3 linked regions of the Oryctolagus cuniculus genome follow. The protein of the gene in region 1 interacts with the protein of each later gene in a biochemical or structural test. Links are inferred from orthologs where the notes say so. Each region holds a gene or a part of one and is shown in the gene's direction. Other genes may lie near its edges.

The links. The genes of interacting proteins can lie anywhere in the genome.
Region 2: the proteins of PRKCA (region 1) and NHERF2 form a complex in vitro, tested with the Homo sapiens proteins (2 studies listed by BioGRID and IntAct, with this or other methods). The link is inferred for Oryctolagus cuniculus from reciprocal best matches to the Homo sapiens genes PRKCA and NHERF2.
Region 3: of the proteins of PRKCA (region 1) and MGMT, one has a biochemical effect on the other in vitro, tested with the Homo sapiens proteins (2 studies listed by BioGRID). The link is inferred for Oryctolagus cuniculus from reciprocal best matches to the Homo sapiens genes PRKCA and MGMT.

Annotation. Positions count from the first base shown.
Region 1 is NC_091448.1:12,867,869-12,871,856, forward strand, and holds part of PRKCA (protein kinase C alpha type), read left to right. Parts: intron 1-2,216; coding exon 2,217-2,373; intron 2,374-3,296; coding exon 3,297-3,431; intron 3,432-3,659; coding exon 3,660-3,756; intron 3,757-3,988. UniProt on the Homo sapiens protein: Calcium-activated, phospholipid- and diacylglycerol (DAG)-dependent serine/threonine-protein kinase that is involved in positive and negative regulation of cell proliferation, apoptosis, differentiation, migration and adhesion, tumorigenesis, cardiac hypertrophy, angiogenesis, platelet function and inflammation, by directly phosphorylating targets such as RAF1, BCL2, CSPG4, TNNT2/CTNT, or activating signaling cascade involving MAPK1/3 (ERK1/2) and RAP1GAP.
Region 2 is NC_091450.1:33,190,157-33,193,712, reverse strand, and holds the end of NHERF2 (Na(+)/H(+) exchange regulatory cofactor NHE-RF2), read left to right. Parts: intron 1-471; coding exon 472-651; intron 652-940; coding exon 941-1,094; intron 1,095-1,168; coding exon 1,169-1,212; intron 1,213-1,867; coding exon 1,868-2,026; 3' UTR 2,027-2,463; downstream 2,464-3,556. Other genes in the region: NTHL1 (endonuclease III-like protein 1), read right to left, coding at 2,464-3,556.
Region 3 is NC_091446.1:2,384,275-2,388,262, reverse strand, and holds part of MGMT (methylated-DNA--protein-cysteine methyltransferase), read left to right. Parts: intron 1-3,568; coding exon 3,569-3,708; intron 3,709-3,988. UniProt on the Homo sapiens protein: Involved in the cellular defense against the biological effects of O6-methylguanine (O6-MeG) and O4-methylthymine (O4-MeT) in DNA. Repairs the methylated nucleobase in DNA by stoichiometrically transferring the methyl group to a cysteine residue in the enzyme.

The DNA of each region.
Region 1 (3,988 bases):
TCCCCAGCCCGGCTGAGGCTGCCCGAGCCTCTGAGCTGATGAGACGGCACCTGTGCCTATAGACCCATCTGATTATAGACACTGATTCGAGCCGCACGTGTCCTGGGCTTACCCAGCCACCTGCCTGTGTCGGTGTCTCTGGGTGGCCGTGTCTCAAGCTTCATAATTTTACTTGAATGGGTTTTATGCAGAAATAACACCTTACGTTAGCAGGAAAGTATATAACCCTCTAACCTGGGCTGGTTTTCCTTAGTGCTAGGCCTAGCAGCTGAGAAATTGCAGAGTACCCATCTCAAGCCAAGCGATGGGCGTATAATTAGTATTCTGTGTTTCTGTATTAAAGTCCTGGCATCACAAAATAGACCTTCCGCTCCGAAGTGGCCGGTTTCACGGCACAGATGCGTTGCTGCAGCAGCCATCGTTTCACATCCAGATGCATAACTGCTGACGAGATGCGAGGGGACCTCACTGTCACTGTGTCCCGAGGTCGGCGCCGCTGTGACTGAGCCCGCAAGGCAAATGTCTTGTTTCTCTTTGGCGAGGTTTAGACTGTCCACCTCTGGGACCCTCAGTGGGCCTGTTAGATTTTTTTTTTAAAAGTCTCATTCGCAATAGTTGGTCAAAGTAGCATGATTTTTCCCCCTATCCTAATTCAGTCTACAATCTGGTTCTTGTAGAAAGTGAGAGACAAGAAATGAGCTGCAGGGTCTGTGCCCCAGTGATGCCTGGGCCTACGGTGCTCCTGGGCTCTGGGGTTTTCCACATCTGTCTCGGCTCCAGAACTGGTCCTCGCTCCAGTGGTGTGTCCCACGCCTACGACAGGGCCGCTGGGGGATGTGAGTGTTGGTCTCACTTGGCAGTGGTCTCTGAACCCACTGTTCTGATATTTTTTTTAAGATGTTTGAATTTGAGAGGTAGAGTCACAGAGAGAGAGAGGGTGAGACAGAAAAGTCTCCCATCTGCTGGTTCATTCCTCAAATGGCCACAATGGCTGGAGCTGAGCCAATCCGAAGCCAGGAGCCAGGAGCTTCTTCTGGGTCTCCCACACAGGCAGGGGGGCCCAAGAACTTGGACCATTTTCCATTGCTTTCCCAAACCATTAGCAGAGAACTGGATTGGAAGAGGAGCAGACAGGACACAAACTGGTGCCCACATGGGATGCTGGCACCACAGGCAGAGGCTTAGCCTACTAAGCCACAGCATTGGCCCCATGAACTGATATGAAAAAGCATTAATTTACATGGTGAGAAAGCTCTCCCCTTTTCTATTTTCTCTCAATCTTGGTTGTGACACCAAGAAAGATTCTGTCTGGGGCTAGCATCTCCTTAGCCCTGGGCTCAGGTAGATATGCATCAGCGTACCCGTCACACTGATGTACCCTGGCTTCCGACCGCCACGCCCACTGTCATCAGCCCCTGCCAGCCCCTCTCTGTGCCTCCTCCCTGGGCCGTGAAATGGCCTTCTTGTTTCCCATGTTAGTGCTTCTCAGGCTAAAACGTGCATTGGAGTTGTCTGGGCGTCTTGTTAAGAAAGAGAACTCTGAGTTAGGTTGTACCTTTGAGGTGGGGCCAAGGTTCTGCGTGTCTACCAGGCTGCCAGGTGGTGGCCAGACCATGGGCCTACCTACCCACTGTCAATCTCAGCTGCCTATGCCAGTGGTTCCTGCCCACTGCTGCACAGCGAATCACCCGGGGAACTTTCAAAACCCAGTACTTGGGTCACTTCCCTCAAAACACTCTGATTTAATTCTGATCACTGGAGCATCTCACACCCTCTACCCCGAGTGATTCCAGTGTACAGCTGGGGTTGGAAACCACCAGCCTTTACAAAGAGCACTTTCTAGAAGTTCCAGTGTGGGTGCAGCTCCGTGGCCCAGGTCGGACGGGGGGAGGGTAGTGTTGCTCCCAGAGAGCCGCAGAGTCACCTGGGACCCCTGTGAAATGCGAGTTCTACTTCAGCAGGTTTGGGGGGTGCCTGAGTGTCAGGCGGTGCCAGGTGCCCAGGCCGGAGCACCAGGACCCACACGGTGCCCAGTGACTGCCAGTGATGGTGACAGGCAGCTCCTCTCGCGCTGAGTCAGACCTTTTGAGTCTCACCTCCTCTTCCCTTCAAACGTGACGTGGTCGCTTTTGTCCAGCGTGGGATCCATGGCAGGACACAGGTCCACGTGGGGCGCTTCTCGGGTGGGTAACGTCGTCTTCCCTCTCTCTTCACAGTACGAGATGCAAAAAACCTGATCCCCATGGATCCCAACGGGCTTTCAGATCCCTACGTGAAGCTGAAACTCATTCCTGATCCCAAGAATGAAAGTAAACAAAAAACCAAAACCATCCGCTCCACACTGAACCCGCAGTGGAACGAATCCTTTACCTTGTAAGTGGTCTCTCCTCTTGATTGAGTTTCGTTGCCGCCCACTGAGCAGCTGCCCACCCCGTGGCCAGAGGTAGCGAGGCACGTTCCCCATGAAGGCCGTAACGCTGCCTTCCTTCCTGGCGCTGTCTCAGGCTGCCACCGGCAGACGGCTGCCATCACCCCTGTGAACAGACAGTGCCTTCCTCTGCCGGGAGCTGTGTTCTACAGGCCCCACGTGATGATCATTGCCTGTTCTGTACCCAGAAATATTCTATGTGAGCTGTTACACTTGATGTAAAAGTGCGCAACGTGCATCTTATCTCCTGATGAACTTCGGTTCCTTAGGGGAGGGCATGAGGCACAAGCTTAAATAAGGTAGAAAGCAAAGTAAGTCAACACAGAGGCTGTCGATGGCATTGAAGTGAGCATCCTCGCCTTCAATCGGGGAGGACTTCCCGGAGGCAGCAGTGTTTAAAGTGGGAATTGAGGGATTTGCCAGGACTTCAGAGGTAGAGATGGAAGAGGGGGCAGGAGGGCTGAAGGAGTCGGGTGGGACGGCACAGGTGTAGACTGGCCCATGGGAAGCAGGTCTCTGTACGGGATGGGCTTTGTGAGCCATCCAGGCTCCATTGCACACCCACAGTGAGGTCCCCATGTCAGAGCAATGGTAGCCAATACGTAAACACAAGGCCATGGCTGCATTCTAATAAAGTTGATAAAAACAGACAGTGGGCCAGATTTGGGCCATGGGTCATGGTTTGCAAAGGCCTGGTCTAGAGCTTTGCTTGCCATTGTAAGGGGTTGGTTTTTTGTTGGCACAGAAAGAGAATAGAATACACTGGCTGTCTATCTCAGGCTTAGATCACGGCCATGTCATAGAAATACTGATCAAGATATGCCAATGTGTGTGTGTGTGTGTGTGTGTGTGTGTGTGTGTTTTGCAGCAAATTAAAACCCTCCGACAAAGACCGACGACTGTCTGTAGAAATCTGGGACTGGGACCGAACAACAAGGAATGACTTCATGGGGTCGCTCTCCTTTGGCGTCTCGGAGCTCATGAAGATGCCAGCCAGTGGATGGTGAGGAAGCCCCTGAGGCTGAGGGTGTCCCGCACGGTAGCCATCTGGAGACTTGGACCAAGCCGTGCAGGTCCTTTGCACTGCCTGATGAGTGTCCAGATGCCAGCTGTGGACTCTCCCCGGGATGCGTGCCACGAGGCAGCTCCACTGGGGTTGTGGGAGGCTTGGGAACCCGCAGTGGTGTGGTCACAGCACCCCTAACTGCCTTCTCCCCTGTGTCTTTGAAAGGTACAAGTTGCTGAACCAAGAAGAAGGTGAATACTACAATGTGCCCATTCCGGAAGGGGACGAAGATGGGAACGTGGAGCTCAGGCAGAAATTCGAGGTGAGGCCACCCACAAAGAGGCCGCGACACCTTCCCTTGCCTTTATGAAGCAGAGCTTCTGCAGGGGCCAAGTTGCCGTGGGTACACTGTGGAAAGGCAAAAAGTAATTTAAATGTTAATTTTGTTCTTTATTTAAAAACACAGACGTTGCCTGTAATCACTTCCCTGTGCAAGCCGTCGACACTCTGTGTCGATTATCACTTAGAGAATGGGGATTGGAAATGAGGTGATT
Region 2 (3,556 bases), on another chromosome or scaffold:
CCCTGGGCAGCGGAGGGGGTCCATCGGGGGCACCATGAGGCCTTCAGGGTGTCCGGCGGGGGGGAGCCAGGCCCTGATCTCCGTCCGGCCCAGCCCTTTCTCTCGGGTCCCCTGGAACGGGGTCGGCGGGGCTGCAGATTGCCTGGGATCTGAACGCTGACACGGGGCAGAGGTGTGGGGCGTAGGGGCGGCAGGAGGGGAGTGCACAGGTGGACCTGGGGCCCGGCGCCCCAGGAGCTGTGAAGGGAGGCAGGTCAGCGGCTGGTCTCACACGCCCGGCCCGTGCCACGCCCGGCCTGTGTGCACGGAGCCCCGAGGCCCCCGTGAAGCAGGACTGGACGTGGGGGCTCCGTCACAGGCAGCCTCAGCAGGAGCCGTCCCCTCCCCTGCGGCCGCCGGAGGCACTACAGTGAGTGTGTGGCCCAGGCAGGCTGGCGGCAGAGCCTGAGCCAGCGTCCCCTGCACGTGCAGGACGTCAACGGGCCCCCAAGGGAGCTGCGTCCTAGGCTCTGCCACCTGCGAAAGGGACCCCAGGGCTACGGGTTCAACCTGCACAGTGACAAGTCCCGGCCCGGCCAATACATCCGCTCCGTGGACCCCGGCTCTCCGGCCGCCCACTCCGGGCTCTGCGCCCAGGATCGGCTCATTGAGGTACGAAGCCCAGAGGCTTTGGGGTGCCGGGTGCCCGTGTGTGTGCCTCCCCGCGTGTGTCTGCAGGGATTTGCCCTCAGCCCTGTGAGGGAGGGTATCGGTGCCCTTGTCTGTGTCCGGCCCCGGGCCCCTGCTGGAGGGAGCTGCCGGGAACCTGAGCGGGCGCCCGCTCCTCTCCAGGCCTTGGCTGGTGGTGGCTTTGATGAATATTTGATGCCACACCTGGCGGGGCCACGTGGGGGCTGGCTGGGCCCCTCGGGCTGCTGACCTGTGGGGATGCTGGCGGCAGGTGAACGGGCAGAATGTGGAGGGGCTGCGCCACGCCGAGGTGGTGGCCAGGATCAAGGCCAAGGAGGACGAGGCCCGGCTGCTGCTGGTGGACCCCGAGACGGACGAGTACTTCAAGCGGCTGCGGGTCACGCCCACCGAGGAGCACGTGGAAGGTGGGCGGCGGCCCCGGGCACGGGGAGGGGCGTGTGTGGGGGCCAGAGCAGCCACAGACATGCTGTCCCCACAGGTCCACTGCCATCACCAATCACCAATGGGACCAGCCCTGCCCAGGTGAGAGGCTGGGCCCACGAGGCCGCAGGGGCACCTCTGGGGGTCCTCTCCCCGGCAGTCTCTGTCCTTGGATGGGGGTGGGCGTGAGACCGAGCTCTGACCCATCCGTCTGTCAGGCCCAGCTTTAATGCTATTCTGGGCCACACACGGTGGGCAGAGGCCTGGGGTCCTGGTGCCCCTGCCCTGTCTCCTACCCCACCGGCACTCCCTGGCTGTTGAGTGCCCCAGGTCAGGATGCCAGGCTCCCCAGGGCCGGCCAGCTGTCTGGGCACTGCTGGGCACCCCGTGTCCTGCCCGGCTGGGCCCGCAGAGTAGCAGAGCCGTGGTGCCCGTGGCTGAGAGGAGCGGCAGATGCAGCTGTGGTGTGCGTGGGAGCGTCTGTGTGCACCTGCGGCTCCCCAGGTGGGAACCCGGAGCACAGCCTGCCCTTGGTTTCCTAGCTCAATGGGGGTTCTGTACGCTCCTCCGGAAGCAGCCTGCCCGGCTCAGACAAGGACACCGAGGGAACCAGACGCCCTCCCGGCTCCACTGTGGTGCTCACACACACGGGGGGCCGGAGGCCTTGGGCAGCGGGGGCCACCACCTCCGGCCCCGCCCCACCGGTGTCCCCAGCCGGCGCGGTCGAGGGTTCACTTTTGCTTCCTGCCCACCCCAGGATGCCAGTGCGTGGAAGCGAGACCCCTTCCAGGAGAGCGGCCTGCACCTGAGCCCCACGGCGGCTGAGGCCAAGGAGAAGGCGCGAGCCACGCGCGTCAACAAGCGGGCACCGCAGATGGACTGGAACCGGAAGCGTGAGATCTTCAGCAACTTCTGAGCCCCCACCGCCTGCTCACCGGACCTGGGCCTGCCGAGTGCCCCACGCCTCAGTGGACTGGGGGGTGGGCCCACCGCCACCCAGAAACCAACCGTGCCCCCGTGAGCCCTCACCCCGCCCCTCCCACCCACTGGGTGCTGGGGACCAGGCAGCTGCTCCTAGTTGGGTGGGGAGAGACCCAGAGAGGCCGGGACCCAGAAAGATAACGCAGAGACCGAGAGAGAGAGAGAGAGAGAGAGAGAGAGAGAGAGAGAGAGAGGGGTTTGGTATGGGGGCAGGGCACGGCCCACGGGGCCAGGGCCTTTGCTGTGGGCCCAGGCCTGCTGACTGAAAGGAATTTGCGTTTTTGCTTTTTTTTTCCCAAAAAGATCTTCAGCTGCACACATGTTTCCACTTAATACCAGAGCCCCCTCCCCCGCTCCCTCGGGACAGGCTCTCTAAATAATTGCAATAAAACAAACCTTTCTCTGCAAACCAGTTCCTCCCCACCCCCTCGGCAGGCCTTCCAGAGTCCTGGGGGCTTCCCGGACACAGCCAGCCGGGGGAGCCGCCCCTCTGCCCCAACCCTGCGCTCCCTGGTGGGGGCCGTCGCTAGGCCTGGGGCCCAGGCTGGAGGATCCCCTCTCCCGCGGAGCAGCCTCTGGACAGGCCCTTCGTCTTGCTCCGCAGCTCCCACAGCTCCCAGGCCTGGGCACGGGGGCACGCCAGTCGCCCACCCCTCCCCGAGCCCTGGGCCCTGCCTCGTGCCTGCCTGGCACCCACCGCTGCAGAGTGGCAGATGCCTCTGCCTGTCCTCCCACCCCTGAACCCCCGAACCGACCGACCAGCACTGCTGTCTGCCTTGTAAGCCATAGCGCATGCGCGCCCTCGGAATAAACAGGCCTGCCTTGGACCTGCCACCGTCCTGTGTGTGCCTTCAGCAGGGGGCGGGGCGTGGAGGAACGGAGCCATTCCTGGGGGCAGCCTGGCTGGGGCGGCTGTGTGTGGGGCTTCGGGGAACCAGGTCCCCTCTCCTCCTGGCCGCACCCTCCGGGGGAGTCCAGCCTCCAGGTGGGCCCAGCGAGGCCACGATGCCACTTTGGAAACGTGGGGGTGGGGGTCCGGGAAGTCTTAGGGCTGAGAGGTTGCTGGGCTGCAGCCCCCGCGGTGGGAGGGGAGAGCCAGGGGTTCAGATCCCCAGCCAGTGGCCCAGAGGCTGCCTCCCCCCATTTCCTCCCTGCAGGTTCTCTGCCCGCACTCCCTGCCCACTGCAGACTCAGCGCGGGCCGTCCTGTCCCCACCCTGGCCTCCATGGCTACCCCCTCCGGACACGGGTGCGTCCACGTGACACGTGCACACACGGCTCCTGGCCCTGCAGACAGAAGTCGCCAGGCCCCAGATACAAACAACCCCCACGCTTTATTAAACAGGCGGTGGCTCCCAGGCGAAGGCACTTCACACGCGGCCCCGGGCAGCCGGGCACAGGGTCTGGTTGAGGCAGGACTGGCAGCGGGGGTGGACGGGCAGGCAGGTCTGCTGGCCGAAGCCCAC
Region 3 (3,988 bases), on another chromosome or scaffold:
CATCTGCTCTCCCACAATATGGCGCTGGGAGAGGAGGAAACAGCTTCTACGCAGCTGCCTCTCGCCAACTTGAGTGATGACCTCCAGGAGCTGATCCTGCTCCTGATTGGAGGAGAGCAGCGTACTCAGCGTGTGGGTAGGAGAGTTGGGATTGGTGGAAGAGGACTATAAAGGAGGAGAGAGACAACATGCACCAGGAACATCTAAGGGGAACATCTATCTGAAGGAACACCTGTGCAGCCCCCGAGAGAGCCGGCCGGCGGTGTGCCACTCCCCTGCAGAAGTGGGGAAAGTGGCAGGGGGAACCGCCCTTCCACGGAGGTGGAAGGGACAGTAGCCAACCCGGGAAGAACCATCAGCAAACCCGGGGAGGGCCGAGCAGACGAAAGAACAGGGCAGGGTCCTGTGTCGTTCCTCCACGAAGAGGGGGAGCGACACCCAGGCATGAGCTGGTGGACCCCAGCCTCTCCCTCGGGAGACCACACCCCTCCACAGGAGCAGCTGTGACGAGGGGAAGGAAGGTTCTCCCCCAGGACTTGGAGGTGCCCAGCTCTGCCACCCGGGGCAGTCACGGGGCTGATCTGAGACAGCCGGCCCCAGCCGGCCCGGCAGATCCCTGGCTGCTCTCTGAGCCCAGCTGTGCGCAGGGCATGTGTATTAAGGTGGCTGTCAGGATGAGACCAGGAGAAAGAAGTACCTCACCTAAGATCGGAGGTGCAGAGCCAAGCTGGCCCCTGCCTGTCTCCACCTGCCCTGCCCTGGCGTGTGACATCCCCCTTCATCAGAGCCATCTTGGCCAACTTAGTCCACACATGTGAGTGCAGACGGCCTGGTCGCCTCCCATGCCTGACCACCGCTCACAGCTTGGCGTGCAGAGGCCTGGCGGGAAAGCCTGGCGTCGGGACACAGATGGCTTCCCCACAGCCAGCCGCAGCGGGCAACGGCGTCTCATGGGCAGGCGGAGGAGCACTTAGAAACCGTCATCTCCACACGAGAAGGTGTCAAGTGGGTGCTTAAGTAGCCACCTAAGCCGAAATGCAAACAGCCACGTCCTTAAGATGCGGGAACGCTAAGCTGTCCAGCCACCAGCAGAATCAGCCTGGACCTCCGCGACGGGGCACGTGGTGCCCAAGGCCCCGGAACAGGCCGGAGAAAGGAAGAGGTTAGAAAGAAGAGGAGGGGCGGAGGGAAAGGAGCATCCAGAATGGGCACGCAGGGGCCGCTTCACCCAGCCCTGCAGGGCCAGCCAGCTCTTGGGGCAGGACCGAGATGGGGAAGGGGGTGGCAGCAGTGGTCCTTCGGGCCAGCTGAGGAGTCACGTGGTCACCTAAACCCCAGAAGCTACCATTTCTGCGTCCTTGCTGCTTGTGTGAGCAGATTTCCCCGAGGTTAGACTGACCTCAGAGGCGGGCGCGGCGCCCCAGCCGGCTGTGCACGGGCTAGAGGCAAAGCGCCATGTCTGAGAGGTGCTGAAAGTAGCGAAGAGGCCTGCTCCCCACAGCGTGAAACTGAGTTCTCAGGTGCATTAGTGACATGAGCTTGATGGCGACACTCCACATTCTGCAGGTTGTCCTTGCTCTAAGGTATTGCCTGGTGCACCCTGTGATGAGACGGTTCCCTACGCATTCCTGCCTGGGAAGCCAGCCTTGTCTGATAAACTGTGCTCAGAGACAGAGCACAGGCTCTTGTCTCATTACGTGACACGTTAATTCTTGGAGAGAAAGGGGCCAGTATTTAGTGGTCATTGTCAGAGCCACGCGCGGGGCTGGCCCAGAGGACAGCACTGGAACGGCGCCATTGCTTTTCAGATCCGCTCCGTGCTCCAGATAGGTCTGCACTCCTTCATTTCCCTCCCGCGGCCTCAGCGCCGTCCCAGGCTGTTCTCCCGGGTTACCTGGAAGCAGCCCTCCCTGGGTCAGAGCTCTTGGTCTGTGCCCGAGGCAGGAAGTCGACCTGCCTCTTGCCGTGTGGACAGCGCAGCTTGCATTGTGTCTTCCAGGACAGCTGGCCCCGAAGCCTTTCCCGCCGTCGACACCAGGCTGCCTGGCTCGGCTTTGCCTCTTCGAAGTCAGGCCGAGTAGCAGCGACGACACAAGCCCCATTAGCAGTCTGATTTCGAGCCCCGTTCTGGAGCAGCGGCAGTAAACAGAGTCTGTGCCTACGGAAGTCCCTGCAGCGCTCCACGCTGACACAACCGCGTGTGCTAATGAACCCAGAGCTGTTAATGTGGTTTCTTCAGTTAAATTGATTCATGAATTTTGAAGAGAACATTATCTAATGAATTTTCTTTGAATAGAAAGCAATTAAAAGGACAAATCAGTCTGATTAACCCCAAAGTCACCCTCCTGCCACAAATGGTGTACAGTTTGAAATTATATCATAAAAAAGTGGAGCACACTTGCTGCCTTCTCGCCCTCTGCTAATCCATGTAAATTAATGAACAACAAAGTTAATTTCTTTGATGACCCTTTTCTAGTATCACCTGGATTATGCTGATGTTTAATTTGCTTAATGTTATAATAAAGACTAAACAGATTTTTTTTCCCAGTGAAGTGATTATCGCTCCCTTCAGTTAAGAAGGGATTTTTATTATTTAACACGCGTGTAAGGGTGTGTTTCCTTTAAGAGCCAAATCGCACTTTGCCAGCCTGGCACAAGTGTAATTAGTGCTCTGTGGATACGGAGCACAGTTCCTGCCTGTGGGCCCTGTCCTCTGTTGCCACTGAGAAGTGCCACCCCTGGAGGCACCGGAGCCCCAGGACGGGCAAGGACGGGCTCCATCTCCGCTCCCGAGTCCAGCAGCCTTCTGGAAAGACAGGCGTCTCGATTCACACGGGCACGCGAGTGCCTGCATTTGTGTGCTGCAGACTCTACACTCAGGAAGCACTTCTAACACCCAGAGGCAGAGAAAGAGAATGCGAGAGGGAGGAGAGAGAGAGACAGCCGCCATGTATCCATCGTTCACTCCTGCGGCGGGGTGCAGAGCAGATGCGGTCTGATGTGGTCGGTGAAAATGGGAATATAATTACTCCGTGTGTGCATCCCTGATGGTTAAAGATGGCTGCAGCTGAGGTCACCCCCACCCCCCGTACCAGAAGCTACGGGGCACTGGGTCTGGACAACCAGCGTAATACCATAGCCTGGGCCATGGCCGCCTCTCCCCTCTGTGTCCCAGCTGAAGTTGGAAACAAACGAAGACAAAAGGTTCCCAAGTAGGCAGACAGGCGGCACTTCTGTGCTTGTTAGCCGCTCCGTGTGCTAGTTTAGACATGCGCTCCGAGGGCAAGCGTGTCCCACGCGTCCTGCGTGGAACGTGGGCAAGAGGAAGGCAGGTGACAGATGTGGCCAAGGTCGGGCCGGCCTCCGGGGGCCTGCCTGCCTGGTGCCTGCTCGCGCTCCCGGCTCTGGTGTCGGCGATGGCGCGGCGGTGTGCGAGGCTGCGTTTTAATTGAGTGTAACACCTCCATTTGTGTCCCTGCGTCTTCTGTTTGGGGCTGGCAGCTGTATTTACATCAGGGCTGTTAGAGCTGTTTGTCCAAATCATGTCACTCTGCATTTTCCCTTCCAGAGTCGTTCACCAGACAGGTGTTGTGGAAGCTGCTGAAGGTTGTGAAATTCGGAGAAGTGGTTTCTTACCAGCAATTAGCAGCCCTGGCAGGCAACCCCAAGGCTGCCCGGGCCGTGGGAGGAGCCATGAGGAGCAATCCCGTAAGTCCCCTCACTGTCTCCGTGGCGTGGGCCGGCTGCAGTCGGGGTGGCCGCCCCCCTGCACACAGAGGGCGGGGCGTGGGCTGAGGACGGGTGTCGCAGAGGCAGCTTGTGTGGCTGGGGCCTGGGGGTGGGCAGCGCATTTGTTGGGAACCCACGCCTCCTGTGAGTCGCAGCCCCCAGAGCCCCTTGTCTTCTTCCTGGCCAAAAAAATGAACAAATCCTGGAGACGTAGCCAGGGGGCGGGATGGAGGCCTGTGTCCATTCACTCATTCACCCG